4 linked regions of the Saccharomyces cerevisiae S288C genome follow. The protein of the gene in region 3 purifies or fractionates together with the protein of the main gene of each other region. This does not show direct contact. Each region holds a gene or a part of one and is shown on either strand. Other genes may lie near its edges.

Evidence for each region.
Region 1: the proteins of PHO11 (region 3) and IRC7 purify together in Saccharomyces cerevisiae (affinity purification with mass spectrometry, with the first as the bait; one large-scale study listed by BioGRID). This does not show direct contact.
Region 2: the proteins of PHO11 (region 3) and BUD5 purify together in Saccharomyces cerevisiae (affinity purification with mass spectrometry, with the first as the bait; one large-scale study listed by BioGRID). This does not show direct contact.
Region 4: the proteins of PHO11 (region 3) and GDH3 purify together in Saccharomyces cerevisiae (affinity purification with mass spectrometry, with the first as the bait; one large-scale study listed by BioGRID). This does not show direct contact.

The regions. Positions count from the first base shown.
Region 1 is NC_001138.5:260,989-268,605, reverse strand, and holds IRC7 (cysteine-S-conjugate beta-lyase IRC7), read right to left. Parts: upstream 4,403-7,617; coding exon 3,380-4,402; downstream 1-3,379.
Region 2 is NC_001135.5:192,752-201,468, reverse strand, and holds BUD5 (Ras family guanine nucleotide exchange factor BUD5), read left to right. Parts: upstream 1-1,919; coding exon 1,920-3,848; downstream 3,849-8,717. Other genes in the region: transcription initiation factor TFIID subunit TAF2, read left to right, coding at 1-295; YCR041W (uncharacterized protein), read right to left, coding at 226-558; MATALPHA1 (transcriptional co-activator mating type protein alpha), read right to left, coding at 500-1,027; MATALPHA2 (homeodomain mating type protein alpha2), read left to right, coding at 1,291-1,923; PHO87 (SPX domain-containing inorganic phosphate transporter), read left to right, coding at 4,284-7,055; RBK1 (putative ribokinase), read right to left, coding at 7,171-8,172; exosome non-catalytic core subunit RRP43, read left to right, coding at 8,451-8,717. UniProt on the Saccharomyces cerevisiae protein: GDP-GTP exchange factor (GEF) for the small GTPase BUD1/RSR1. Regulates the activity of BUD1 together with BUD2 which is a GTPase-activating protein (GAP) of BUD1. Required to produce both the axial and bipolar patterns of bud site selection.
Region 3 is NC_001133.9:221,997-230,114, forward strand, and holds PHO11 (acid phosphatase PHO11), read left to right. Parts: upstream 1-3,463; coding exon 3,464-4,867; downstream 4,868-8,118. Other genes in the region: YAR068W (uncharacterized protein), read left to right, coding at 410-895.
Region 4 is NC_001133.9:25,612-33,440, reverse strand, and holds GDH3 (glutamate dehydrogenase (NADP(+)) GDH3), read right to left. Parts: upstream 1,875-7,829; coding exon 501-1,874; downstream 1-500. Other genes in the region: flocculin FLO9, read left to right, coding at 5,473-7,829.

The sequences.
Region 1 (7,617 bases), on a different chromosome or scaffold from region 3:
TTTCTCTGTTGTCGTTAAATGCATGATGATCCCCAATAACTAACCAAAACTTTAAAAGATTTTTTTAGTATCTTTTGGTGTGTTTATTTGCCTGCAATTTGTATACTTTTTTTCTCATCCTAGCTCGGCATGTAGACTTTACATATCTCGACCTGTATGAATTGTCGGTCTTGATAAGACATTCTAAAGAAAACAACACCATACTCGAACTCATGTAATAGTATATATGACTCGAGAAGAAATCAGTACATTTTTTCAGTCGCTTATGCTAAATGTCAGTGATTTTTTAATCAGTTTTTGAATCGACTACTACAGGGTATTGCGCATCCCGATTATTTGATTTCTAGTTACAAATCAACCTGTCAACAAAGAATGAGGAAATTTAAATATATATATATATTTCGGTGTGCGTTTGTGTGGAGATAAATGACTTCCCTTGACAAATTTAAAAGAAATCTCTTTTTAGAAGCATTGTATTGTAATTCCGGGTCAACAAAGTGAATTCATGATAATTTTGGCATTGTAATTTTAGCCATGTAGGGCGTAAAGGTCGAATCTTTAAATTATACCGATATCTTTATCTTGTAATGTTGACGGAAAGAGGGCAGAAAGCCATATGGCTAGGTTAGTTCCAAGAGAAGAGAGCTTCTCACAAAATTCTGCAAAAGCAGTAAGAGGAGAGTTGCTGCTTCATCAAACAAACGTGCGCTGTTTGACTTTCACATGACGACAAGGAGATAAAATATCGCGTGTTATACAGGAATAGCTGCTTTGGCAGGGAGTCAAGCCCGACTCCTAAAGAGTCTCTTCGCGGTATCTTCCTTATTCGAAGACAAGGAATATAGAGCAATGAATCTTCGGTGCTTGGATATGATGTTGTTACTGTTACGATATCTTAAATTCGGGATTAGAATTCTGGATGATAAATGGACCTGTCCTTCAGAATAGCAAAAAAGAGAATCGAGACAACGACAGGAAATACATTGTTTTAAGAACGATAGGAGATTCATGTCTATAAATTGCCTAGATTTTTCCAAGGTACTGCGTAATGTTTCTTCTGTTGGCAGCAGATCGTAAATGACATCGTAGTATAAACCGACAACGCTTGATCTATATGTAAAACCTGACGCAGTTTGATCGAAAAATGATGTTGAAGAATTTAAAAGAGTTGAAAAAGTTATCCGTGAAGTTGATATTGGTATGGATCTGTATGAGTCATCGAAGCTAATCAAGTTGGATAATCATTTTGGTATTAAATTGTACATTAAAGAACAAAGTTCGGGATTCAGCTCGCCTTCATTCAAAATTCTTGGGGCGTCTTGAGGTGTATTTTGCTGTTTGATTGGAAGATTTAGCCTGCCATTACCTAAAACTTCCTTGGATACATTGAAGCAAATTGTCAAATTCCAACACCCGTCTTTGATGCTAGCGGCTGTTACAGATGGTAATGATGGTAGAGCAGTTGCATACATGGCAAAAATCCTAGGCTTAAAGTCTACAATATTTACTCCATGGAATGTTCTAGAACAGAGCGTGAGAACATCAGATCAGAAAAGGGAGCAGAAGTTATCAAAATTAAAGGTAACTATGATTATGCAATAAAAAGTTCTTTAGAGTTTTGTAGTAGCGATCCGACAAAAAAATCAACTTATTCAAGATTTTTCATTCATAGGTTATGATGAAATTCCTAACTGGATTTCTTATGGTTACACTACCTTGTGTAGCGAAATACCATTCGATCCTGCGGTAATATTTGTCCCTTGTGGGGCTGATTCTTTTGCTCAAGGAGTGATAACATATTACAGGTCGCATAAATCGAATACGAAAGTCTTCTCGGTTGAACCAGATACCGCTTACACTGTCAATAAGTCATTGGTGTTACAAAAGGCTTCATCTGATCTAGGAACCTCTAGAACAATCATGGATGAGTTGAACTGTCCGAGGATTTCAGCAACAGCATTTCTTCTACTACAGAAAGGGGCCATCTATTTCCTGTTTAGTTTCCGATGAAGATTGTATGCAAGCAATTAAAACACTAGGCTCGCTAGGAGTAAATTCAAGTCCATGCGGAGCTGTTACGTAAGCCACGTTTATTAGATTCATTGATAAACTGAAAAACATGGGTGAGTTAAAAGTAGGTGGTAAATTTGTGTTGTTGTCTACGGAAGCTATAGGTTATCAAGGAATCTTTAACTATGGGTATTGCTGACGGCTTTGTATCGGGCTTTTGAAAAATACGATATTTCAGAGCCATATGCGCAAAAATATATGTACAACTTCTACTTTGTTGTTTCAAAATTATCCAACTAGTTGTTTTGTAGTTGAAAAAAAACGAGTATTAGCGTTCTTCTTGGCCCTTATCTTATTCTTTATTTTGCCAGCTAAGGTTATTTAAGTTGAAAGATATACATAACGTCATATAAAGTAATCTCTTTTTCAAAATGTTAATTGAAGCGATACACAGACGATGATGAATAAAATCATGTGAGTATAATTTTCCTTATAACCTTTTTTACACGACAAAACCACCGATGATGTTCTGACCTACACTTTCATAATTGCATCCGTTCACCGAGATGCATAGCACCATACGTACTTAGAGTAACCATAGCTATTTACAATAGGTAACAATATACATAGTCTATGGTAGCAGAGTGCGTACGGGCTCTTCGGTTACTGACGTAATCATATTATTTCTTAAACACCAGTGGTTATTTTGCTGCATCTCTATTACGGTATTCTTTTTATTGCTAGCATTTAGCCGCGGAGTGAGATCACATGTCATATTGATATGCCTTTCTCTACTGAATGAAATCGAACTAAAAAATCTGTAGTGTCAAGCTCAAGCCTGGTTCACAAATATTATATTCAGGAACGCAAGTAGATAAAGCAGAATCATTTCCGCTGAATAAGTACGATATACGTTTTTTCTATCTTTATACAATACAAAATTATTACTTTTCTAAATACAATGACTTCATTATGCAGTGTCATTGAAATGCATTCACAATATGGTAAGCCTCTTTATTACAATCAGACATACAGAAAAAAGAAAGATTATCTGCTTCATCATCCATAATATGATACAGCTAGAAAATTGAACCATATATTAACTGGGCAAACATTGGCTACTAGATGGTTGTCTACTCCAGCCTGCCTAAGACAAGCTATAGTCAAAAATTTCATTCATTTCTCAAACAACATTGCTTGGAAATCCAAAAAAAAAAGGAAAAAAAATCAGATTTGTAAAGGATTCAAAGAAATTTCTTCTGCGAGACGTTCAAAGCCTAACTCAAAATCCCTTTTTAAATCTTCAAATTCTTCGAGACCCACTTGTATTCTTAGTGCAAAACCTTTGTAAGGCCATGTTGAAGCTTTTCTAGCCACCCCATGAAAATCCCAATTGCAAAACTTTCATCCCTTCTACCATTTTCTCCAGACCAGCTCTTGTGAACCCATTTTTAAGGACAATGGAAAATAAGCCTGAAGAACCTTTGTAGTCACGAACCCAGTATTCATGTCCGGGACAATCTTCAAAGGCGGGGTGAAGCACTTTTTCAACCTCATCTCGATTTCCGAGCCAAGCAGCCAAATCCAGGGCTTTTCTTTCTACCTCTTTCAATCTTAAGTGCAATGTACGCATTCCTCGCAATGCTAATTGACAGTCCTCGGCACCTGGTAACATTGCCATTGCATCATAAGTTGACCGTAATAGCGGCCAACATTCTTCATTTGCGGAGGCCAGACCAATAAGAAGATCTGAATGACCACCCAAATATTTTGTCCCAGCTTCTACCGAAATATCGATACCATGCGCATGAGCATCAAAAAAGAGTGGCGTTGCCCATGTGTTGTCTAGAATTGTCTTTATCCCATGCTTTTTGGCAACAGAGACCAAAGCTGGAATATCCTGTACTTCCATGGTCCCAGAACCCGGGCTTTCGAGGAAAATGACGGTTGTATTTGGCTTAACTAGTTTTTCTATATCCTTCCCTATTGATGGGTCATAATAATCCGTTTCAACACCGAACTTGGCCAATAAACCATCACATAGCATACGTGTTGGCACGTAGACACTATCAGTCATCAAGATATGATCACCAGCTTTCGAAAGGGCCAATAGCGCCAAAGAGATAGAACCAAGCCCAGAAGCTGATAGCACTGTCCCAGCACCGCCGGTTAAATGCGTCCAGGCATTTTCTAAATTGTCAATAGTTGGAGAACCTGCTGTCCCGTAAAATCTTCCTTTCCTTTGTTCTAAATCACTAAGTTTTTTAAGAATGATGGTTGACCCCTTATACAAAGGTGGATTAACAAAGCCACTTTGTTCATCTGGATTACGTCCAATAACAGACAGTTGCGTAGTAATACCAAACTTCGATAACTCGGTACGATCAATCATTGTAGTGAATATTTTGGTTTTTGCTGGAATTTTATATTCACAGTTTCGAAACACGTTAAGTATTTTTTCATTGTGGTGTCCCAACACTAGAGCAGTCTTTCTTTTTATATGTCCTTGTCTTCTATATTTTTATCAAGGAATATTTAGCACTGATGAGCAAATTGGCACTTTCAACATTATTTGGATGCTACGGCGCCTTACAATTGAGTTGATTATACGGAATTTGAATGCCGAAAAAGAACGTTAAAAAAATATACTCAAAACAAGAGGCGACAATAAAATCGTTATCAATTTTTTTATCACTTTATGAATGTTAGATACGGATTGAAAAAAAATGCTTATCTTTCCGATCTTGATTGCCTTTTTTATTTTCGAGAATAATTCTTTTTTTCAGGTTCATGGCACATTTTTCAGGAAAACTTGGGTTCACCTCGAGCGTGAATATGGTGTGCTAAACTTTAAAAATTTCAGAACAAAGAGACTCTCCAGTTTCATCAGGAGCCTTTTGGAGTAAAAGGACGTTCACTCTTGCCAAGTAAAAAAAACGGTTATGCCATAATCTTAATCAAGCTACACGCAACATTCAAGAGACCAGTGGCTGAGTCACAATATTCTCGGAAGCTAAATCTTAAATCCGGGCTGGTGTAAGTTGTTGGTGAGTAATGGTGGAAAGTTTGGAACTTTTCTCATACGACAATTTTTGAACACGCAATGCCTATGTATACGCCTTGCGCCTAATAGTGCTCCCTATGTGTCGATCTGACCCATAGTATCGCAGTTTCTAATTTTGTGATAGAGGTTCTGGTTATAAGCAAGAAAAGTTTATACTGCTGGGCGCCGCCTAGCATCATTGTCTGCTTTCCAAAGGCATGGAAGGCGGCGGCAGTGTAATATTACCGCGTTATCGCAGACCTAGGGAGAATGTAATTTCTCACGTGTTCCTTTAGCAGCATATTTTTTACTTTTTAAAATAGAAAACAATGAGCCGGCATACCTATGACCTGCGCTCCACCTCATATGGAAACTGAAAGTACGTTTTTTTCTCTCTATATAACACAACTCAGCATCTTAGTCTTTAAAAATGGTTATTCATGGAATGATCAATAATGCACTTAACTGGTGAGGCTACTTTAAGGTCAATTAAGTTAGTAACGTTTCTTTTCATGTTTTCACTCGCCCTCTCTTTTAAATGATTCTTTTGTACTCTATAATTCATTAAAAGATGTTCCTCTTCTTTTTATTCGGAGATATTTTGGTAAATTTACTACAGTTTCCTTTCAGAAGATAGCGATGCCGTACGGCACAGGCGGTGTACATCTATGAGAAATTTGCAGATTAGCCTAGGCCTCTATTGCACTTATGTATATATATCTGACGTGAAAGTTCAGCGCAACAAGGAATGAAGGCAACGTGTCATTCAAATACAGTGGGAAGTCTACACTAATAGCTATGCGGTTTAAATTGCTTAGAATCCATAGCATTGTGGCACTATTAACGAGAGGTAGAGATTGGTATTGAAGGTACACATAACTCGATACTTTCCACCTTTCTCATCAGGAAATATTATTATTACTGTATATACTTTTATGCAAATCCAATTGCCCTGTTAAAAGTCACTATGGGTTGCCGGTATCAATTCTAGTATACACATGGTAATAAATCCGTAGAAGGGCCGACATGTACTACATTCTGTATATATCTCAAGCGTTAAGTGATATAACGATCGTGTTCTTATTTCGCATAAAGTTGTCAAGACCATGAGACAGGTCCTATAGAGGTAGTTTTGTTGATATTTGGGTATTTTCTCTTTTTCAAATCTTTTACCTTTATTTTGCATATTGTACATTCTCATAATAGGGACAAGAATATCCCAAGACAGAAATACGAAGCTAGCAGGTAAAGTACATAAAAACTTACACTAGCGTCAAGAATAACGTGCATTTAATTTTTTTTTTTTTTGGAACTCCTATATACGTAGACTAGAATATGCATAAAGAACTTTAAATATCTAGAACTCACGTTATGATATATTCTTACAGGCCATAAAAAAAATCAAGTCTTGTTTGTATAATCATTAGTTACCGGTGTAAGAAATTGCTGTATTTGTCATATTTGTTAGCTGCTTCCCTTCATTAAGCGATAATATTTCGGACATTATAACGGCATCATTGGCTATGATATACACGAAATACAACCAGCTTCGGTAAAGTATGTATTATTTAGTGATACAGGGCAAAACATGCATGAGAATATGAAGATTTTATTGTGTTGGTAAATTTGAAAGTATTCATATAGAGTATGATTAGGGGTTATTAACATATAAACACCAATGCAAAGCGCCATACAAGTCAGAATATGTCGATTTTTTAAATTAGAGCATTATTCCGCGGACAACACGCAATTAGAGAGACACAGTCTGATAATAAAGTACAAGAAGGGCACACTCCGGTAGTAGAATTCTTTCTTTGCGCGTGAAATATTTGAAACTAATCATTGTATGCCATTCGTTTTCTTATTATCATATATATTTTTCGGTCGCTAAGTTTCCGTCAAAAAAATTTGACTCAATAGTCATCTCCTCTTTCCTTTTTCGAAACTATCAGAAGTGACCATTACTACTAAGATTTGTAATTTAAGATTAAATAAATTCTTCCAGAAAATTTTTCTTGCATGATTGTGCATACGCTTCTCTCGACTGTTTGTTTGGTCTCCTTGTAATATTACGATTATTTTTACTTCCGTTTTATATGTTTCATTATCCTATTACATCACCAACCCTTGAATTTCGCTTCCATTAGATTTGATGACTGTTTCTCATACCTAATGTCATTTTCTTACACTGTATGTGATAATGTACTAGTAACACGATACTACTAAACAGATGATATTTTAGAGTTTCATTCCAACAACTTCAATGCTTCCAATTTATTTCCCCTCATGATAAAACAAGATCTCAGCTTCATTGTATTTGCCTTCTTTTTTTCTTCGAAGCCATTACGTGCGCATTGACGCTGCACTGTCCAAAAAAAACCTTAATTCTAATTTGATTGATTTTCCTTTCCCTTGTTTTTTGCAACTCCATGTATTAATAAAAGAAAAGCCAGGGTATCTTCTGTGAGTAAACTAACGTTTCATACCTTCTGTACGTATTAAGAAATATAATTTCTTCTGTAGCTTGGCATATACTGCAACAAGTCCGTAATTTGTCTTCTATT
Region 2 (8,717 bases), on a different chromosome or scaffold from region 3:
TGTGGAGGCACCCAAGAAGGCGAATAAGATAAAGATAAGTTTGAAAGGTGATAAACCTGTTAGAAAAGTGGAAAAACAAATTGTGAAGCCGAAGGTAACTAGCAAACAAAGGAAAGTCAAAAGTCATGTGAACCGCATGGGCAGTTTACCTTTACGGTTTGTTAAGATCCAACAACAACCTAGAGTAATGGTGCATTTGTCATCCGTCCCGTATAGCCAATTCGTTCAAATTACAAAAGTCACATCAAGATCGTTTATGGTTAAGATAAGAACAAAGAATGATGCTAAGAATTGATTGTTTGCTTGAGTCTGAGTAATATCATATTTTATACAAATACATAGACATAAACAAAAGAGGCAAGTAGATAAGGGTATAGCCATATGAGTGTATAAACAAACATTGGGAACAAGAGCAAGACGATGGGGAGTTTCAAATAGGATAGCTATACTGACAACATTCAGTACTCGAAAGATAAACAACCTCCGCCACGACCACACTCTATAAGGCCAAATGTACAAACACATCTTCCCAATATCCGTCACCACGTACTTCAGCATAATTATTCGTCAACCACTCTACAAAACCAAAACCAGGGTTTATAAAATTATACTGTTGCGCGAAGTAGTCCCATATTCCGTGCTGCATTTTGTCCGCGTGCCATTCTTCAGCGAGCAGAGAAGACAAGACATTTTGTTTTACACCGGAGCCAAACTGTGAGTAATATGCTCTAAAAGCCATAAATGAGTTTAAATATTTCTTTGAAGATTTTATAGATGTCTTATTGAACTGTCGAAACTGAGTATTTTGACTTCCAGACGCTATCCTGTGAATTTGGATTTTATTTAAAAATCGAGAGGAAGGAACAGGAATCTGGATATCTTTCTTGAGTGGTCGAATAATATTGAAGCAGCTTGGCCTCACATGCTCAGCTAGACGTTTTTCTTTCAGCTTTTTTGAAACCGCTGTGTTTCTGTATGATTTGGATGCTTTGTTCTTAATTTTGAAAGCAGGCTTCGAAGTAAACATATTGTGAATGTCGTCTATTAAGTTATTATATATGGTTGATACATTTCATAAAAAGTGAAGGTTAAAAGAAGTAGTTAAGAGTTTAAGTTGTTTCATATGATGTACTTTTCTACATTGGGAAGCAATAAATTGCATCCCAAACAAAACCCAGACATCATTAATGTTTTGAAACATAAAATGTTGGAACTTAAAAATATATATAAAGGAGAGATTGAAATCAGCTTAGAAGTGGGCAAGAAAAAAAGGAAGATAAGCAAGAAAAAATGAATAAAATACCCATTAAAGACCTTTTAAATCCACAAATCACAGATGAGTTTAAATCCAGCATACTAGACATAAATAAAAAGCTCTTTTCTATTTGCTGTAATTTACCTAAGTTACCAGAGAGTGTAACAACAGAAGAAGAAGTTGAATTAAGGGATATATTAGGATTCTTATCTAGGGCCAACAAAAACCGTAAGATTAGTGATGAGGAGAAGAAGTTGTTGCAAACAACATCTCAACTCACTACTACCATTACTGTATTACTCAAAGAAATGCGCAGCATAGAAAACGATAGAAGTAATTATCAACTTACACAGAAAAATAAATCGGCGGATGGGTTGGTATTTAATGTGGTAACTCAAGATATGATAAACAAAAGTACTAAACCTTACAGAGGACACCGGTTTACAAAAGAAAATGTCCGAATACTAGAAAGTTGGTTTGCAAAGAACATCGAGAACCCATATCTAGATACCAAGGGCCTAGAGAATCTAATGAAGAATACCAGTTTATCTCGCATTCAAATCAAAAACTGGGTTTCGAATAGAAGAAGAAAAGAAAAAACAATAACAATCGCTCCAGAATTAGCGGACCTCTTGAGCGGTGAGCCTCTGGCAAAGAAGAAAGAATGAGCCCGAAAAACAAATATGTATATATCTGTGTAGAATATATATATATATATTTCGCAAAAATACATAAACAATCAACCCTCTCCTCAGACACTACTAAGATGTTTGTACTGATAGATAATGTCCTCGCCTACCTTCTTGAACAAGACGACCTATTTGTAACCGCACGCTTCGCTATCCAGGGCCAAATCGTCTCAAGAAGAGTTAACAAAATACATATCTCCAACATCACAGACGTCCTTCTACAACAATTCATAAGTCACACACTGCCCTATAATGACAATATCGTCCCAAAAAAAATCCTCGACAGCATGAGAACGGCCGTACGGCAGTTGCTGGAAGCAACTGCCTGTGTCTCTAGAGAATGCCCCCTCGTCAAAAGAAGTCAGGACATAAAAAGAGCAAGAAAACGTCTACTCAGTGACTGGTATAGGCTCGGCGCTGATGCAAACATGGATGCCGTATTACTAGTTGTTAACTCCGCCTGGAGGTTTCTGGCCGTCTGGCGACCCTTCGTAAACTCAATCCAACATGCAACTCAGGAATTGTATCAAAATATCGCCCATTACCTTCTTCATGGCAACGTAAATATACAGAGGGTCACAGCACTAATACAGCTCGTAATGGGACAGGACGATTTACTTTTTAGTATGGATGATGTTCTACAAGAGGTCTTCAGAATACAGCTCTATTTGAATAAGATGCTGCCGCACAACTCTCACAAATGGCAAAAGCCATCCCCCTTTGACTCCGCAAACTTACTACTTAACTTCAGAGACTGGACAACTGACAATGCTCTCCTCCAAGAGTTGCTACTATCCTATCCCACAATTAATAAAAACAAACACAAAAATCACTCCGTCCCTCGTCTAATACAAATCTGGGTAGAGTCTTATTGGCAAGATAGTGAGACAACATTAAAAGATATCCTCAATTTTTGGTACAGTCACTTGGCTGAATATTATGAATACCAAGAACTGTTTGCAGACATAGTTCAGCTGTTTATAAACAAAAAAAGAACGAGGCAATTGAAGATTCATTACATTGGTCTAACTGATAAGGAAATCGAAGAAAATAAACCGCCCCTGGACTACGAAAACTTATTTCTCCAATACGAGATAGACAAAACGAACGCAAATGATGAATTGTGCGGTGCAACTGACCTCAGTGATTTACTTTTCCAATGGAAACAGGGTGAACTTCTAGAAGTCGAAGCCTTCGCTCTAAACGTATCTCCATGGTCACTTGCAAAGACATTGACTCTCTTAGAATCTTCTCTTTACTTGGATATTGAAACAATAGAATTCACAAGACATTTCAAACACAACGATACAACAATTGACTCCGTGTTTACGCTTTCCAACCAGTTATCGTCCTACGTTCTTGAGACAACTTTGCAGCAAACGCACACCATTTCCTACTGGTTACAAGTTGCACTGTCTTGTCTATACTTACGAAACTTAAACTCACTTGCTTCAATCATTACATCATTGCAAAATCATTCAATAGAAAGACTATCTCTCCCGATAGATGTTAAATCAGACCACCTTTTTCAGCGCCTAAAAGTCGTCGTACATCCAAACAACAACTACAACGTTTATAGAAGAACAATTAAACATATTTTCCACAGTCAGCTTCCTTGTGTACCTTTTACATCACTGCTTATCAGGGACATTACCTTCATAAGAGACGGAAACGATACATTCACTAAAGATGGTAATAACGTGAATATGCAAAAGTTCAACCAAATCACAAAGATAGTCGCTTTTGCGCAATATTTACAACAAAAGCAATATGAAGATATACACTGTTCAAATACTACTGCAAGAAGCTTATTAGGGGCTATGATAAAGGTGCACACTTTATATAACGACAACAAAGACAGGGCGTATCAAGTCAGTATAGCTAAGGTTCCAAGGCTTACCTAAAAACAGAACTGTTCAAAGAAAGATGACTTCCTTTTGCTTCTTGTACGCTCACAAATAATTAATATTCATGTTTAGTACTGAAAATTAAGAATACTTGCATAACTACAGTAGATAATATTTTTTGATAAGAAACCAGACGTAAATTAGATGTAATCTTTTACAGATATTACAGTCAACTTAATCAATTACCTAAAAAGGTTTAAGATTGTGCATAGGAAACGTTTCAATTACCGTATCTTTAGGCTACCGCCTCTTTCTTATTTTCCCTTACCCTTTTTTCAATCTAATTAATTGATGATTTCGCACGTGGGAAAAGTAATCCGATGCATTGAAAAATTATTACCAGAAAACAGTGTTTCACACCAAAAAAGCAGTCAGCTCTCAGATAAAGGTGCAGCAAAACTACGGTAAAGGCGGCTATTATTGTGCCTCGAAATGAGATTCTCACACTTTCTCAAATACAACGCTGTCCCTGAATGGCAGAATCATTACCTAGATTATAACGAATTGAAAAATTTGATCTACACATTACAGACAGATGAATTGAAACAAGAAACGCCAACCGGTGACTTAAACGATGACGCTGACTCTCAGACTCCAGGTCCAATCGCTGATATAGAAAGCAACATAGCTGCAGGAGAACCATCTTCATCGAAAAGAAGATTTACACATAAACTCAAGCGTAAGCTCTTTGGTTCTAAAACACCTTCAGGAAGCAAAAGGGGAGACTCCGACGAAAAGGCCATAGATGGGAACAATATTAACGAGGAAACAATTGAGTTAGACGAGTTATCTCCTCAAGGGAAAACCACCTCTTTCAATAAGAATTTTATACGTAAGAAATTCTTTGAATCACGCAGCTCATCTGTGAGTAGCGAGGGAAAGACGCTCTTCAGTTCTTATGATACATTCGTAACTAACCTGAGCGACGAGAAATTGAAAGTAGATGATTTCTACAAAAGAATGGAAGCTAAGTTCTATGAAAGATTTGACCACTTGATTAATGATTTGGAGAAGGAAGGCATTGTAACAAGATTGAATGAAACTTTCAATCCTGAAATTCAAGCATTGCCTCCTTTAAGAGAAATTATTTCTGGTACATCAGAGACACATTCATCTAATAACCCATTTGAAATACACTCTTCAAACATCGACAGTGAATTGAGAAATAGGTTTGATTACAGCGAAGAAGAAATGGATGAAGATGATGACGTTGACGTGTTTGCTGACACTACCGACAATACCGCCCTCTTGAATTATTCGCAATTTAACATTAAATCTCAGAAAAAGTCATTATTAAAACAGACAATAATAAATCTTTACATAGACCTTTGCCAGTTGAAATCTTTTATCGAATTGAACAGAATGGGTTTCAGTAAAATTACTAAGAAGTCTGATAAAGTATTGCACATGAACACTAGGCAAGAATTAATAGAAAGTGAAGAATTTTTCAAAGACACCTACATCTTCCAGCATGAAACTTTAAGCAGTTTAAACAGTAAAATTGCACAACTTATTGAATTTTATGCTGTTCTCATGGGTCAGCCTGGGAACGTAGATTCATGCAAGCAAGAGTTAAAGTCGTACCTGCACGACCACATTGTTTGGGAAAGAAGCAACACATGGAAAGACATGTTGGGCCTCTCTTCGCAAAATAACGATATAATAACTATTGAAGATGAAGCTGAGAAACTTATGCAAGAAAAGCTTCAAATTGAATATTTCAAGTATCCATTGCCTAAGCCAATTAATTTGAAGTTTACTAAAATTGAAAATTTGGCAGTTCCTAAGCTATTTTTTGGGAAAAGAGCAATGAAAATAGGCTTCATTATCATTGTCACAGGTGTTTTGTTGGGTGTTAAAACTTTCAATGACCCTGTCGAACACCGGTGTATGGCATTGGTAGAATGCTGTGCTTTCTTATGGGCTAGTGAAGCCATTCCATTACACATCACAGGTTTATTGGTTCCCCTTCTAACTGTCCTTTTTAGGGTACTAAAAGACGATGACGGTAAGGTAATGGGAGCAGCAGCTGCCTCTACAGAAATCTTAGGTACAATGTGGTCGTCAACAATTATGATTTTATTAGCAGGTTTCACATTGGGTGAAGCCTTGTCGCAATATAACGTTGCGAAAGTTTTGGCATCGTGGTTATTGGCCCTTGCAGGTACCAAGCCAAGAAATGTCCTTTTAATGGCAATGAGTGTTGTATTCTTTCTTTCGATGTGGATTTCCAACGTTGCCTCCCCAGTATTGACATATTCTCTATTAACACCCTTACTAGATCCGCTGGACTACACTTCACCGTTTGCTAAGGCATTAGTCATGGGTGTTGCACTTTCGGCAGATATTGGTGGTATGGCTTCACCTATTTCTTCGCCACAGAATATCATCTCCATGCAGTACTTAAAACCTTATGGAATCGGCTGGGGGCAATTTTTTGCTGTCGCTCTGCCTACAGGTATTCTATCGATGCTGTGCTCCTGGGCCTTGATGATACTCACCTTTAAAATAGGCAAAACTAAACTGGAAAAATTTAAACCAATAAGGACCAGATTTACTATAAAGCAATATTTTATCATCATTGTAACTATTGCTACTATTCTTCTATGGTGTGTAGAGTCACAAATAGAAAGTGCTTTTGGATCGTCCGGTGAAATTGCAGTAATACCGATAGTCCTGTTTTTTGGTACAGGTCTACTATCAACAAAGGATTTCAACACATTCCCTTGGTCAATTGTTGTTCTTGCTATGGGTGGTATAGCCCTTGGTAAGGCAGTTTCATCTTCAGGCTTGTTGGTAACTATTGCAAGAGCATTACAAAAGAAAATTCAGAACGATGGTGTTTTTGCTATCTTATGTATTTTCGGTATTTTAATGTTAGTTGTGGGCACTTTTGTCTCACATACTGTGTCAGCAATCATCATTATTCCCTTGGTGCAAGAAGTTGGTGACAAATTATCCGATCCAAAGGCAGCTCCAATTCTTGTGTTCGGTTGCGCCTTGTTAGCCTCATGCGGTATGGGGTTGGCTTCATCTGGATTTCCAAACGTTACTGCTATTTCTATGACCGATAAAAAGGGTAATAGATGGCTAACTGTAGGCGCTTTTATCTCCAGAGGTGTTCCTGCTTCGTTGTTAGCGTTTGTCTGCGTAATTACTCTCGGTTATGGTATTAGTTCTTCCGTCTTAAAAGGTAGCACTTAAACTGCCCTCATGTAATTACATTTCTTATTACTGCATTCTTTGTACCTTTTTAAACTTTATATATATGACGAAAACTAAAATTTAACAAACTAAAAGTAAAAAATTGCAGTAGATTTTATGCATCTTTCTGAACATCTTTATACAGTGGCATGCTTTCAGCAGCACCTTTTCTTTGAATGGTCAATGAACTAGCTAATGTAGAGAACTTTATAGCCGTAGACAAGGTCTCTCCTTGATACAATTGAGTAACCAAACCGCCCAGGAAAGTATCTCCAGCTCCTGTAGTATCAACAACCGAAACATTTTGAATAGCCGGAAGGAATTGTACTTCAGGGCTTTCGTGCGAACAGAAAAGCACCCCTCTCGAACCCAAAGTCATAACCACAATTCCTCTTTTCTTTCGATTCATGAGTTTTTCATACAAAAGCTCACAAATTTTACGATATTCTCCTAAAAAGTCGTCCTTTATCTTCTCCCTTATTTCTTCAACAAGTTCATTATCAAATACACTTTCCACGATTTGAAGACCCTCAATTTCATTAACGACCAAAAGGTCTACCAACTCCCAATCTTTCTTAGGCATGGCCTTGAAAGGTGAGGGGTTATATACGATCTGAAAATTCGGCCTGTTCGCATGTATCCATTTAATAATGGAAAGAGGATCAGGAATTTCGTGTTGAAAAACAACATACTCTTCTTCCTCCTTGCCCTCTGGAAAAATTTCACACAACTGTTTCGGGTCATAAATAGTCTTGCTGTTAGCACCTTCTACAATCAATATCCTATTTTGGCCACCAGCTTTCTCTTCAATTAGTATGGTAGCGGTACCCGTATTAATGCCTTCGTAAGTACCGACGTGAGTGATATCGACTCCGCAATCGGATAAAGTGTCCTTCAATTGTTTACCAAATGTATCATTTCCAACATTACCAATCATTCGAACACTATATCTGCTGCTGGGGTTTTTTAATTTACCAATGGCCGCAGCTTGGTTCAATCCCTTACCACCAGCATGTGTTTCGAAGTGGTTAGCCCTGAAAGTTTCTCCAGCGTTAGGTAATCTATCCGTAAATGTGTCCAAATCATAGTTTAGAGAACCTATTACTGTAATACCCATCTTTGAAATATGCTGTTGGAACTTTGGGATGAAAGACAACAAACATCTTATTGGCTATTTTTATCCTATTTGCTTCATGATTGTTCTGGCCACCTTCGGATATAAACCCTTTTATTCCCGTTTGATCTGGAGAGATTTTCAAATCACAGTCGACGAAAGTATAAGATTTTTCTTTCTTTTTTTATGACAGAGTATATAACAATAATGGACAAATTAGACGATGAGTATTGTTACACAAATAAGTTTGACAGTAGTTTCACAGGCATCTAATATTGGAAATGGCTGAAAGTACCACGTTAGAAACTATTGAGATACACCCAATTACTTTTCCACCTGAAGTTCTTGCGAGAATATCTCCAGAATTGTCTTTACAAAGACACTTATCCCTAGGAATCAGGCCATGTCTAAGAAAATATGAAGAATTTAGAGATGTTGCTATAGAAAATAATACTTTATCGCGTTATGCGGATGCTGGTAATATAGACACTAAAAACAACATTTTAGGCTCAAATGTTTTGAAAAGTGGGAAAACCATAGTCATAACT
Region 3 (8,118 bases):
TCTTTTGAAATTGGTACTGGATTCTCTAGTTCTGGCTTCAGTGTCTCCGAAGGAATCTTCGCAGGCGCCTACTCATATTACCTAAACTATGACGGTGTCATCGCTACAAGCGCCGCATCCACATCCGCATCCACTACCTCTGGTGTTGTCTCTACTGCCACTGGTTCAGTCACTTTATCCTCTAACGCTTCTACCACCGTCTCTTCTACGATCTCTTCTAGCGCCCCAGACTCAATAATTCCTTCATCTAGCGCCTCTATCTCTGGTGTCTCAAACTCCACTACAGCATCTGGTTCAATCGCTTCTACTGCTTCCACCGCTTCCACTACTTCTACTGCATCCGCTGCATCCGCCACCAGCTTCACCTCAGGTTCCGCTTCTGTCTACACTACTACATTAACTTACTTGAATGCCACAAGTACAGTCGTGGTTTCCTGTTCAGAAACAACCGACGCTAGCGGTAACATTTACACCATTACCACAACTGTCCCATGCTCATCTACCACTGCCACCATCACATCTTGTGACGAAAACGGATGCCATGTTCCAGCACCAACTGCTACCGACGCAACTGCAACCGTTTCCTCCAAGTCATACACCACTGTTACTGTTACTCACTGTGACAACAATGGCTGTAACACCAAGACTGTCACTTCTGAATGTTCTAAAGAAACTGCAGCAACCACCATTTCTCCAAAATCATACACTACTGTTACCGTTACTCACTGTGACGACAACGGCTGTAACACCAAGACTGTCACTTCCGAGGCTTCCAAACAAACATCATTGGCCACTAGCACAGTCACCAAGTCTGCTGCTCCAACTTCTCATACTGCTGCTTCCAGCACCTTCACTGGTATTGTCGTTCAATCCGAAGGTATGGCTGCTGGTTTGAGAACCAATGCTTTAAGTACTTTGGCAGGTATTTTCATCCTTGCTTTTTTTTAAAATGAGTGCGTAACCGTACTTTCCTAAAAATAACTAAGTAGAAAGTATTTTAATATATAAACGTCAGTGTAAACATTCAAGTGATTTTAACTTTACGCGGTTGAAGAATGCTGTGTTCGAACTATAAAGCGTCAGAAAAGATGGTTTAGCGAAGGCACCATTATGAAGATAGACACATTCTTCTTTTTTTTTTTTTTTTTTTTTTTTTTTTTTTTTTTTCATTTACTTTTATTTCGCGCGGTCGGTAAATTTTTCGTGGGTTTCTTTGAATCTATTAGCCGACATAAGAATAATGCATAAATAATATTTTTAATGTCTTCCTATGCCCAAAAGAAGAAGTCTTGAAGTTGCCGCACATGGAAATCACATGACCATGGCTTGGCCCTTCGTTTTAAATGCAACATGCAATATGGAATGTGTCATGAATACTATCAGCAGGAACAGAAAGCGTCGTTTTGTTTCTGCAAATGCTGTAGTTTTGGGCCGAAAATAGATGTAGTAGAATATATAGTGAAACGTGATGTACAAAAGAAAAAGGTAGTTTAAAAAAAATTAGATAACTTGGATTTTTACCCTGAATATTGCATGTGATTCGTAAAGAACTGAGTTACCTCAAACGGACCTCCCTTTTCATTTCGTATTCCGCGAATCATGAAGTCATGCAATTACCTCTGAAGAGCTGACTGTCCCAAAAGAAGCTATCGAATCTGTCCTTGATTTATTTAAGCCTTGCGTTTCGAGAAAGTGAAAACCAATTGAATACAAAATAAAAAAAAAGAAGAAAGAAATAGCAGGTCTAAGATATATAAGAAAGTTAATATCATTTTTGAACATTTTATTTTAGACGCCTTCAGCCGCGCGACGCCCGGAGTAATCATATGCCCATGACTTTACCAAAAGGCAACAGGGAGGAACATGCATTAATGTGAAGCATCACTGCTGCAATTCTCGGTGTTGCTAATAATTCATGGATCGAGAAAGAGACATAACATTTAGGCCAATTTTTTGAATAAATATGAACTCAGCTAAGACTCGACAATACAATTTTCTTATACTAAACGTAGATTTATAAAATAAACACAACTGTAAGGGCAATGCAACCGTAGATGCATATATCATTTATAGAAATTATATCCAACAGAAAGCTCAGACTTATATCCGGTTTAAGAGAGAAATTCTTGCTCATATTACCCCAAGACCAGGTGGCGTGTTGAAGTTTATAACATATAAGAACTACTACCTCATGAATTCTAGTGGATGAAAGAAGCAGCACGAACACCATTTCTACAGACAACGACACATGGAAAGGTTCACCATTCCCAAAGAAAACAACGATGGCCACAAGGGTGTGGTCCTCCATTCTCCTACTGTTGGAAGGAGATATTATCCGACCGACTGTTTTGTGATATGGCAAACTATTTTTTTAAATGAGCAAAATTACTTCTTTTGGCTGGAAATGTCATTAGAAAGTGCCCAAGTGACATTTAGCTAAACTCGGGTATTGTCTACAAGACCGGTGCTGTGACCGTTTCCAATACGGAAAGAAACGGTACTGGGAGCAGGAGTTGCTTTTACAGATATGAACAATGCCAATAGAGCCGCACATGTAATTACTGGTTCACACTCGTGGGGCCCACACGATTCCTGTGCAAAGTTTGACAAGAGGATGGAGTTTCACGTAAATGCTGCCAAAGGTGATGCGGTTTTGTTTTTGGGCAGCCTCTACCATGTTGCAAGTGCGAACCATACTGTGGCCACATAGATTACAAAAAAAGTCCAGGATATCTTGCAAACCTAGCTTGTTTTGTAAACGACATTGAAAAAAGCGTATTAAGGTGAAACAATCAAGATTATCTATGCCGATGAAAAATGAAAGGTATGATTTCTGCCACAAATATATAGTAGTTATTTTATACATCAAGATGAGAAAATAAAGGGATTTTTTCGTTCTTTTATCATTTTCTCTTTCTCACTTCCGACTACTTCTTATATCTACTTTCATCGTTTCATTCATCGTGGGTGTCTAATAAAGTTTTAATGACAGAGATAACCTTGATAAGCTTTTTCTTATACGCTGTGTCACGTATTTATTAAATTACCACGTTTTCGCATAACATTCTGTAGTTCATGTGTACTAAAAAAAAAAAAAAAAAAGAAATAGGAAGGAAAGAGTAAAAAGTTAATAGAAAACAGAACACATCCCTAAACGAAGCCGCACAATCTTGGCGTTCACACGTGGGTTTAAAAAGGCAAATTACACAGAATTTCAGACCCTGTTTACCGGAGAGATTCCATATTCCGCACGTCACATTGCCAAATTGGTCATCTCACCAGATATGTTATACCCGTTTTGGAATGAGCATAAACAGCGTCGAATTGCCAAGTAAAACGTATATAAGCTCTTACATTTCGATAGATTCAAGCTCAGTTTCGCCTTGGTTGTAAAGTAGGAAGAAGAAGAAGAAGAAGAGGAACAACAACAGCAAAGAGAGCAAGAACATCATCAGAAATACCAATGTTGAAGTCAGCCGTTTATTCAATTTTAGCCGCTTCTTTGGTTAATGCAGGTACCATACCCCTCGGAAAGTTATCTGACATTGACAAAATCGGAACTCAAACGGAAATTTTCCCATTTTTGGGTGGTTCTGGGCCATACTACTCTTTCCCTGGTGATTATGGTATTTCTCGTGATTTGCCGGAAAGTTGTGAAATGAAGCAAGTGCAAATGGTTGGTAGACACGGTGAAAGATACCCCACTGTCAGCAAAGCCAAAAGTATCATGACAACATGGTACAAATTGAGTAACTATACCGGTCAATTCAGCGGAGCATTGTCTTTCTTGAACGATGACTACGAATTTTTCATTCGTGACACCAAAAACCTAGAAATGGAAACCACACTTGCCAATTCGGTCAATGTTTTGAACCCATATACCGGTGAGATGAATGCTAAGAGACACGCTCGTGATTTCTTGGCGCAATATGGCTACATGGTCGAAAACCAAACCAGTTTTGCCGTTTTTACGTCTAACTCGAACAGATGTCATGATACTGCCCAGTATTTCATTGACGGTTTGGGTGATAAATTCAACATATCCTTGCAAACCATCAGTGAAGCCGAGTCTGCTGGTGCCAATACTCTGAGTGCCCACCATTCGTGTCCTGCTTGGGACGATGATGTCAACGATGACATTTTGAAAAAATATGATACCAAATATTTGAGTGGTATTGCCAAGAGATTAAACAAGGAAAACAAGGGTTTGAATCTGACTTCAAGTGATGCAAACACTTTTTTTGCATGGTGTGCATATGAAATAAACGCTAGAGGTTACAGTGACATCTGTAACATCTTCACCAAAGATGAATTGGTCCGTTTCTCCTACGGCCAAGACTTGGAAACTTATTATCAAACGGGACCAGGCTATGACGTCGTCAGATCCGTCGGTGCCAACTTGTTCAACGCTTCAGTGAAACTACTAAAGGAAAGTGAGGTCCAGGACCAAAAGGTTTGGTTGAGTTTCACCCACGATACCGATATTCTGAACTATTTGACCACTATCGGCATAATCGATGACAAAAATAACTTGACCGCCGAACATGTTCCATTCATGGAAAACACTTTCCACAGATCCTGGTACGTTCCACAAGGTGCTCGTGTTTACACTGAAAAGTTCCAGTGTTCCAATGACACCTATGTTAGATACGTCATCAACGATGCTGTCGTTCCAATTGAAACCTGTTCTACTGGTCCAGGGTTCTCCTGTGAAATAAATGACTTCTACGACTATGCTGAAAAGAGAGTAGCCGGTACTGACTTCCTAAAGGTCTGTAACGTCAGCAGCGTCAGTAACTCTACTGAATTGACCTTTTTCTGGGACTGGAATACCAAGCACTACAACGACACTTTATTAAAACAGTAAATAGATAATATGATTATGTAATTTTAGAAACTAATTATGAATACCGATTTATTTTTTTTTTTTTTTTTCACTTTTGCTGGCAAGAAATACGAAATTGCAATGACGATCACAGTCCAAAGAGGTAAGCACAAAGGCGCAGTATGTGATTACTCTATCATTCTTTAGCAAAACCAGGATAGGAGTATATGTATAAGAAATATGCAACGCCATCATTTAATGCAATAGACACGACATGCCCTTTACATGAGGTGGTACAATGTTTTAATATTGTGTCAGGGCAAGTACATGATAATATCGTTTAAAGATGATGCTAGAGTAAAAGTATGAAGTGAAAGAAAAGGGCAATTGATTGACTAAGCGGATGTTGTAGGATGATATAGTGGCTCATGATCTGTAAATGATCGGTTGACCGCAGTATTATATAATAACATCCGTATAAGTACATATACTACCATGTCTGTTCTCTACATTGCTTTTTATTCAAGATTATTGGTTTTCCTAACCGCCGCGCCGCGCAGGTACCCCGCGCATCTCTTCTTCTCGAAGAAAGCGGAAAAAACAAAAAAAAAAGTATAAATAGTGGAGTCTTTTCCCATTTAACATTTAGAAAAAAATTCGAATGGAAATTTCTTGCCGAACATTTAACCGGAGACCCTTGGCGGCTTTTTCTCAGTTTCGTGGGCTAGTACATTTTACCTAGTATGCTGGGAACTTTTTTTCCGTATTCTATTCTATTCCTTGCCTTACTTTTCTTATCATTTTTTATATAACCAATTTCAAAAATACTTTTTAACTGTCATAGACGCATTTTGTTTATTACAAATTAAAAGAATCAAATATAATATGTGCAATTAATAACTCCACAAGTAGCGAAAGCAATGGCCGCCATTAGAGACTACAAGACCGCACTAGATCTTACCAAGAGCCTACCAAGACCGGATGGTTTGTCAGTGCAGGAACTGATGGACTCCAAGATCAGAGGTGGGTTGGCTTATAACGATTTTTTAATCTTACCAGGTTTAGTCGATTTTGCGTCCTCTGAAGTTAGCCTACAGACCAAGCTAACCAGGAATATTACTTTAAACATTCCATTAGTATCCTCTCCAATGGACACTGTGACGGAATCTGAAATGGCCACTTTTATGGCTCTGTTGGATGGTATCGGTTTCATTCACCATAACTGTACTCCAGAGGACCAAGCTGACATGGTCAGAAGAGTCAAGAACTATGAAAATGGGTTTATTAACAACCCTATAGTGATTTCTCCAACTACGACCGTTGGTGAAGCTAAGAGCATGAAGGAAAAGTATGGATTTGCAGGCTTCCCTGTCACGGCAGATGGAAAGAGAAATGCAAAGTTGGTGGGTGCCATCACCTCTCGTGATATACAATTCGTTGAGGACAACTCTTTACTCGTTCAGGATGTCATGACCAAAAACCCTGTTACCGGCGCACAAGGTATCACATTATCAGAAGGTAACGAAATTCTAAAGAAAATCAAAAAGGGTAGGCTACTGGTTGTTGATGAAAAGGGTAACTTAGTTTCTATGCTTTCCCGAACTGATTTAATGAAAAATCAGAAGTACCCATTAGCGTCCAAATCTGCCAACACCAAGCAACTGTTATGGGGTGCTTCTATTGGGACTATGGACGCTGATAAAGAAAGACTAAGATTATTGGTAAAAGCTGGCTTGGATGTCGTCATATTGGATTCCTCTCAAGGTAACTCTATTTTCCAATTGAACATGATCAAATGGATTAAAGAAACTTTCCCAGATTTGGAAATCATTGCTGGTAACGTTGTCACCAAGGAACAAGCTGCCAATTTGATTGCTGCCGGTGCGGACGGTTTGAGAATTGGTATGGGAACTGGCTCTATTTGTATTACCCAAAAAGTTATGGCTTGTGGTAGGCCACAAGGTACAGCCGTCTACAACGTGTGTGAATTTGCTAACCAATTCGGTGTTCCATGTATGGCTGATGGTGGTGTTCAAAAACATTGGTCATATTATTACCAAAGCTTTGGCTCTTGGTTCTTCTACTGTTATGATGGGTGGTATGTTGGCCGGTACTACCGAATCACCAGGTGAATATCTCTATCAAGATGGTAAAAGATTGAAGGCGTATCGTGGTATGGGCTCCATTGACGCCATGCAAAAGACTGGTACCAAAGGTAATGCATCTACCTCCCGTTACTTTTCCGAATCAGACAGTGTTTTGGTCGCACAAGGTGTCTCTGGCGCTGTCGTTGACAAAGGATCCATTAAGAAATTTATTCCGTACTTGTACAATGGATTACAACATTCTTGTCAAGACATCGGCTGTAGGTCGTTAACTTTACTAAAGGAAAATGTCCAAAGCGGTAAAGTTAGATTTGAATTCAGAACCGCTTCTGCTCAACTAGAAGGTGGTGTTAATAACTTACATTCCTACGAAAAACGTTTACATAACTGAATGTTAAATGGGATCATTAATACAATAGTACTGTACGTATGGCACCTGTACATACTGCGTTATAAATGTACTAATGGAATGATATATTAATATATAGTGTGTTTATACCTTATTATTGATGATTAGTATATATTTTTATATTTAGGTGATTTTAGTGGAGATTATTTGGTGGTAATTACACTAGTATACATAAAATGGGTAGTGGATATTTGTATAGAAAGGGCATTACGCATGGAGTTAAGAGTATTTACATGATAATTGGGGTTCCGTGATTCATTATAGATAATAAAACGTGGATAATATTGGGTGTTATAGGTAAATGGGACAGGGTATAGACCGCTGAGGCAAGTGCCGTGTATGGTGATGTGGTATGGTATCGAGTACCGATGGAGTGAGAGATGGCCTTGGTGTAGAGTATTATGGCGGGTAAGTTAGATGATGTATTGTTTACGTTATATTTGTTTAAATTGGATTTGTTTACATTAGATTTGTTTACATTTCAATATATCAATGGAGGGTATGTAGCATTATGGTAAGTAGCACGTGGTAGATGGGGATTGTAGGTGGATGGTAGGATGAGTGGTAGTGAGAGTTGGATAAGATATATTGGGCAGGGGATAGATGGTTGTTGGGGTGTGGTGATGGATAGTGAGTGGATAGTGAGTGGATGGATGGTGGAGTGGGGGAATGAGACAGGGCATGGGGTGGTGAGGTAAGTGCCGTGGATTGTGATGATGGAGAGGGAGGGTAGTTGACATGGAGTTAGAATTGGGTCAGTGTTAGTGTTAGTGTTAGTA
Region 4 (7,829 bases), 190 kb from region 3:
TATGTTCAATGAATTTATTGTTATTCTTATTGCTGTTGTTATTATTGTTAACTGTCTATTAACTTTCAAATATCTTGACGATGGTCTTTTACCAATGACAAGGTTCAAGAATGAAGAGAACCACAAACACAGTCAGGTCCTTACTACTGCACATTACGACAGCCTTTATATACATTTTATCAAAAGCATTAACTAATGTGTTGCTAATAATCGCATCTGCCGGTCTTGTGCTACAGCCGTGGTGGTTAACCCCCTTGCTTAGTTCTCCTTATCATATCTGAGCTAACCAATGCCACTATCCCCCTTCAAATTGCCTAGGTTAATCATCTAATTACCGACATGTAATCTCCTCACCCCGCACGGCCACTACTAAGAAACTTCCGCGGAAGGGATTTCAGTTTCTTCCGTAATGCTGAACCCTATTTGCATAGTAAATTAAAAGTAGATTACACTACTACATACACAGATAGTTACGAACAAAAAGAAAATAGCGCTTACGGCTAAAAAACGTCTCCCTGGTCAAGCATTGCGTCAGCCACCATGACGAAGCTGGCAATGTTGGCCCCCTTGACCAATGATGGCAAGGTGTTTGTATTTTTTTCCGTAGAGTACTCTTGTGCGGCCTGTATGCAGTCGTTGAAGCAGTTGATCATTATCTTCTTTAGTTCTTGATCGACCCGCTCGGCAGTCCAAGTTACTTTTTGAGAATTCTGAGCCATTTCCAGACCGGATACTGCCACGCCGCCCAGGTTAGCTGCCTTTGGTGGCCCAAACCAAACTGCATCCTTTGCATTGGTTGCAGTGCTACGCGCTGTTTCGAAAACAGAAATAGCCTCGGGTGTAGAACCCATGTTAGCACCTTCGGCAACGAACTTAACGCCAGATGCCACTAGGGCCTTGGCTTCGTCACCACTGACCTCGTTTTGGGTGGCACAGGGCAAGGCAATGTCGACGTTGCTCACATGCGTCCATGGGCGTGCTCCTGCAACGTACTTCATCTTACTTTCGCTGAAAGTAGAGTATTCATCAACGATTTCCTCTAACGACTTGAAACGGATCTTGGCGGAAGCGATATCGTGAATTTGCTCAGAAGTAATGCCCGTCTCAGAGATGATGCACCCCTTCGAATCGGATAAAGACACCACAATACCACCCAGCTCGATCACTTTCAAAGCTGCATATTGCGCAACATTGCCACTTCCGGAGATTGTCACACGTTTGCCCTCAAACGACTCCTTGCCGTTTGTTGCATAATCGATCATTGCTTGCGTATAGTAAACTAAGCCGAACCCGGTGGCCTCCGGCCTGATAAGTGAGCCACCCCAGTTTAAACCCTTACCAGTCAACACACCTTCCCAGGAGTTCTTGTATGATCTGTAAGCGCCGAATAGGTAGCCAATTTCACGGCCACCGACACCAATATCTCCTGCGGGCACGTCTGTGTCCTTACCAATATGCCTGCTCAGTTCTCTCATGAACGCATAACAAATCCTTCTGATCTCGTTGTCAGACTTGCCTTTCAAGTCCACACACAGGCCACCCTTACCACCGCCCATATCTAGCCCAGTGAGCGCATTCTTGAAGATCTGTTCAAAACCCAAAAATTTTAGGATAGACAGGTTCACTGATGGGTGGAAGCGTAGGCCACCCTTGTAAGGGCCCTTGGCTGAATTGAACTGCACCCTGTATCCTTGAGCCACTTCTTGCTCGCCATTATCATTTTCCCACGTGACCCTGAATTGAATGATCCTCTCCGGGACAGAAACAATAGGTAACACTTTTTTATACTGTGGGAATTTTTCAAAAATTTTGGAATCCTCCACAGAAGAAACGATCTCATCGTAAGCCTGCTGAAACTCTGGTTCGCTTGTCATTTTTTACTTTTTACCTTTTCTTTTCGGTGACTGTTGCTACTTCCCTATATATATATATATATGTGTGTGTGTGTGTGTGTGTGGCCTATGTATGTACCTTTATATAACTGAGTTCGAACGGCTCAAAGTCAGAAGTCATTAACTGTTTATGTGAAAGTGAAATAAAAAGAAATACTCTTTTTAAGAAAGGCATCATGGTCATCACTTTTTCCATATTAACCAACGATAAAACTGTCCCTTTAATATCAATACTGCTTATCGATAAGATAAGTAATATACCCTTTAAAATCTCATTGGCTCCCTCTCCGCATTTTTTCCTTTCTTCAAAGAGCTGGGCCAATCAAGCAAACTGAACGGGAAGAAAAAGAAAAGTTGGTATAATATTTTTAGTTTTTAAGTGCAGAATATCTGTCAGCAGCCATATATATATATATATATATATATGTATATGCCTCCTATGCCTTCTTTTTAATGGGCGTTAATTACTTTGGCAAGTGCTCCGTTTTATCATACTTTACTTTTTCTTTTTTTGAAAGTTCTCAGAGACCCAACAAAACTTAAAAATAAAACAAAAAAAACAAGCTGCCACAAGTATGTTTATAGAAGAAAACTTTGAAAGCGTTTTATTTTGCAAGAATAATAGCTTCTACACTTTGAATTCTGAAACAATCCGGTGCTTGTTAGTTGTAATTTTTCTATTTAAAGTTGAAGTTCAGCTACATATAACAAATTATGCCTCACTTGATATTACCAGCTCACTTAAATTTCATCTTAACATTAAAATATTTACAGCCTAGCTTAAACTCACTCTGAAGACCTTCTGCACAATGTACAGGTACATCGTAAATAAAAAATTTGTTATGAATCTTGTGCGTCATTGAAATACATTGCCTATGAATTGGTCAATGGATTACGCAACATCAGCTTTTTAATTTAACAGTAAGTGTTTAGTAGTAACAATGATCGCCATTTTGAACGATAAATGCCTTGACGGTTTTTACAACATTGCGATTAACATTTTTACGACTTTTACAGGATTCTGCGTTCATGCATTTGGATGAATATCTCTTCCTCGCTGTTCAGCAAGAGAACAAACGACGTATTACTGGTCATTCGATCACAACATTTATGCGCCTTTCCTTCGCCAAGAAGTCAAGAAGTATTCCATGAACCGTAGTCTAAGAGATTTTTATTAGAAGATCATATAACCGCACGTCCATAGCCTGAGGGGGGGTTCTGTGGAAAGCTAAAGATATCGCACTTATTGAAAAATATAGGCGATACATAAATTTCTCAAAGTAAGTAAACAATAGTTTAAACCCAAATTTACACCGACAGTGCCGCTGCTAGCTTAAACAGGAATTGACCATTTATTGTAATTCCATATGCCAAGTAGGCTTTTCATTTTTGCATCTTCAATACATTAAAGTTAACGTATACTCGACAAGTGGTGCATTGAAAAAAAAAAATCGAATTTTCTATGTGGAAAATACACCCAAAAATGTTCTTCAGAATGTATACTTCGCTAAACCAATTAATGTGCCTATGCAAAAACTTTGAACAAATCAAGAAATTTTTTTGGACATGGATTGACCAGAGATTGACGTAACTCATGCCCTGTCAATGATTTTAGCTTGTGCGACGAAACGTACTTCTCTGAGAAAATCCAGACGAAAAAAAATGACACCAAAATCCCGTCATTATTTACGTTCGAAAAGAAAAAAGTAGGCAATATTTCCCTTTTCGTTTCTTGCCTCTTCTTATGTCATAAGAAACTTACGTGATAAACCAATCGAAAAAGGAAACAAGAAAAAGACAAAAAGGGAAAGCTCTGATGCACCATTAATCTGGTGAAAAAGTAGTGCGAAGGCAACTATTCCATGAACTGATTTTCATTGTAGAAACAATCATTATTGTTTTCTCAAAATTTCTATAATTTTATTGATTAAATATCAGCACCTCCATAACCACCTTGATATGCTCTGATAGACAATCAATGCATAGCTAGTAAACCGAAAATAAACTACAAAAACGTGGATGAAAAATATACGGTTTACTATTCCTTAACTTAATATCAGTAACAGACCGGCTGGAACAAATTTTTCACGAGTAAAAATTTGGTCAAGCAGTTATAGTGTAGTGTCTTCAAAGTATTTTTACCGTATTGTAACTTTTCAATTTTCCAGCCACACGTGAAGTAAGCTGCAAACTAACAAGTGTTTGCAGCGCTCTAGGGAGTTTTCTCTATGACGTAACTTGGCTGCCTTTTCTTCAAAAAAAAAAGGATCTAATCTCTGAAAAACGGAGTTGCCTTCCAAGTGCAGCAAGCTTGGCAGGTATGATTTCAAAAACCATGAGAAAAAAAGCGTATATAGTTACCTTGCTGAAATGCCGGTATATTTTGATTGCACCCAGCTGGGACATGTGAATAAGTCTCAAAAGTGGAACGAATTACCTCAAAGCCATTATTTTTTGAAAATGCATCAATCATATTTTTGTGTGACAGACTTACTGCACACTGGTTTTAAAGGACGTATAAGAATTAAGTATAACTAACCAATAAATACTTTTAAGGTTTAAAATATTCACAACACATCCCGTCAGTGTCCGCAACAAAAAGTGGCTGTGAAATTAGGTATCTCTTGTTTACTTTCGAGATCAGAGGTCACATAGGGCACTCAAAAGGGTAGTCAGCTCACTTTAGTATTTAAGATACACCGACGCCATGTAAGAGGCAGGAACCGAAAAAAATATACAGCACCTGCCTGCTCCTTTTTCAGGGAATACCGTGCGATGTCAAATTTTTTGCTGCTTTGTAAGCTAACCTTAATTTTAGTCGGCTGACAAAATTCACTTTCCTATGGCTATTTCTGTGTTTTTTTTGTATCGCGCTTACTAGGTGAAAACTTTATTTGACATTAAAGTTACATGCGTTTTTCTTCTTCCGGCCCAAAAAATGCAACTATAGTGTTCTAGAATTTTTTAGTCGTGCACCAAAATTATGCATTGAGAAAGCACTAAAAAGGACGGAGTAGTGATTTTTTCAATGTCTCTATCAATTTTCGGATCTGTCGCTAAAACTAGTTTAAGTTTCTGGCGACCCTCCTGGAATGCTTACCTTGAGCGATGGGTACTTTCCTTCATAGGTTATTCAACATTGCACGATATACAGAAAATATATTCTCTGTAAGGATATCGTACCACATTTCAGAGCGCATTAATGCATGTAAAGGAAAGGTACATCACACACGACCACAGATTTTTTAAAAACTTTTCTTTTTCTTCTTTGTTCCTGACAATTCAGATGGCATAAAGAAAACGTTCGCAGTCAGATCAATTAGAAAGCATAACTCAAAATCTATCGGGTGGTATAACACAGAAATTTAAGCAGCTAAAAAATTTTTTCTCTTTTAAAGGTATTCGATTTCCTCCTTTGCTAACACATTATCCTGCCAAATTATTCTACCTTCTTATATATTACATAAAATTCGATGACACTAAAAGTCCATTAATAACATAACGTTCTTCCTTCTTATTTACAGGTACGCTCTTTAAATTGCAATTTAAAAAGAACAATTGTACAATAAAAGCCCCAAAAATGTCTCTGGCACATTATTGTTTACTACTAGCCATCGTCACATTGCTGGGATTAACTAATGTTGTCTCTGCGACTACAGCGGCATGCCTGCCAGCAAACTCAAGGAAGAATGGTATGAATGTAAACTTTTACCAGTATTCATTGAGAGATTCCTCCACATATTCGAATGCAGCATATATGGCTTATGGATATGCCTCAAAAACTAAACTGGGTTCTGTCGGAGGACAAACTGATATCTCGATTGATTATAATATTCCTTGTGTTAGTTCATCAGGCACATTTCCTTGTCCTCAAGAAGATTTATATGGTAATTGGGGATGCAAAGGAATTGGTGCTTGTTCTAATAATCCAATAATTGCATACTGGAGTACTGATTTATTTGGTTTCTATACTACCCCAACAAACGTAACCCTAGAAATGACAGGTTATTTTTTACCACCACAGACGGGTTCTTACACATTCAAGTTTGCTACAGTTGACGACTCTGCAATTCTATCAGTCGGTGGTAGCATTGCGTTCGAATGTTGTGCACAAGAACAACCTCCCATCACGTCGACTAACTTCACCATCAATGGTATCAAGCCATGGAATGGAAGTCCCCCTGATAATATTACAGGGACTGTCTACATGTATGCTGGTTTCTATTATCCAATGAAGATTGTTTACTCAAATGCCGTTGCCTGGGGTACACTTCCAATTAGTGTGACACTACCAGATGGCACTACCGTTAGTGATGACTTTGAAGGGTACGTATATACTTTTGACAACAATCTAAGCCAGCCAAACTGTACCATTCCAGACCCTTCAAATTATACTGTCAGTACTACCATAACTACAACGGAACCATGGACCGGTACTTTCACTTCTACATCTACTGAAATGACCACCGTCACCGGTACCAACGGCGTTCCAACTGACGAAACCGTCATTGTCATCAGAACTCCAACAACTGCTAGCACCATCATAACTACAACTGAGCCATGGAACAGCACTTTTACCTCTACTTCTACCGAATTGACCACAGTCACTGGCACCAATGGTGTACGAACTGACGAAACCATCATTGTAATCAGAACACCAACAACAGCCACTACTGCCATAACTACAACTGAGCCATGGAACAGCACTTTTACCTCTACTTCTACCGAATTGACCACAGTCACCGGTACCAATGGTTTGCCAACTGATGAGACCATCATTGTCATCAGAACACCAACAACAGCCACTACTGCCATGACTACAACTCAGCCATGGAACGACACTTTTACCTCTACTTCTACCGAATTGACCACAGTCACCGGTACCAATGGTTTGCCAACTGATGAGACCATCATTGTCATCAGAACACCAACAACAGCCACTACTGCCATGACTACAACTCAGCCATGGAACGACACTTTTACCTCTACTTCTACCGAATTGACCACAGTCACCGGTACCAATGGTTTGCCAACTGATGAGACCATCATTGTCATCAGAACACCAACAACAGCCACTACTGCCATGACTACAACTCAGCCATGGAACGACACTTTTACCTCTACATCCACTGAAATCACCACCGTCACCGGTACCAATGGTTTGCCAACTGATGAGACCATCATTGTCATCAGAACACCAACAACAGCCACTACTGCCATGACTACAACTCAGCCATGGAACGACACTTTTACCTCTACATCCACTGAAATGACCACCGTCACCGGTACCAACGGTTTGCCAACTGATGAAACCATCATTGTCATCAGAACACCAACAACAGCCACTACTGCCATAACTACAACTGAGCCATGGAACAGCACTTTTACCTCTACATCCACTGAAATGACCACCGTCACCGGTACCAACGGTTTGCCAACTGATGAAACCATCATTGTCATCAGAACACCAACAACAGCCACTACTGCCATAACTACAACTCAGCCATGGAACGACACTTTTACCTCTACATCCACTGAAATGACCACCGTCACCGGTACCAACGGTTTGCCAACTGATGAAACCATCATTGTCATCAGAACACCAACAACAGCCACTACTGCCATGACTACAACTCAGCCATGGAACGACACTTTTACCTCTACATCCACTGAAATCACCACCGTCACCGGTACCAACGGTTTGCCAACTGATGAGACCATCATTGTCATCAGAACACCAACAACAGCCACTACTGCCATGACTACAACTCAGCCATGGAACGACACTTTTACCTCTACATCCACTGAAATGACCACCGTCACCGGTACCAACGGCGTTCCAACTGACGAAACCGTCATTGTCATCAGAACTCCAACTAGTGAAGGTCTAATCAGCACCACCACTGAACCATGGACTGGTACTTTCACCTCTACATC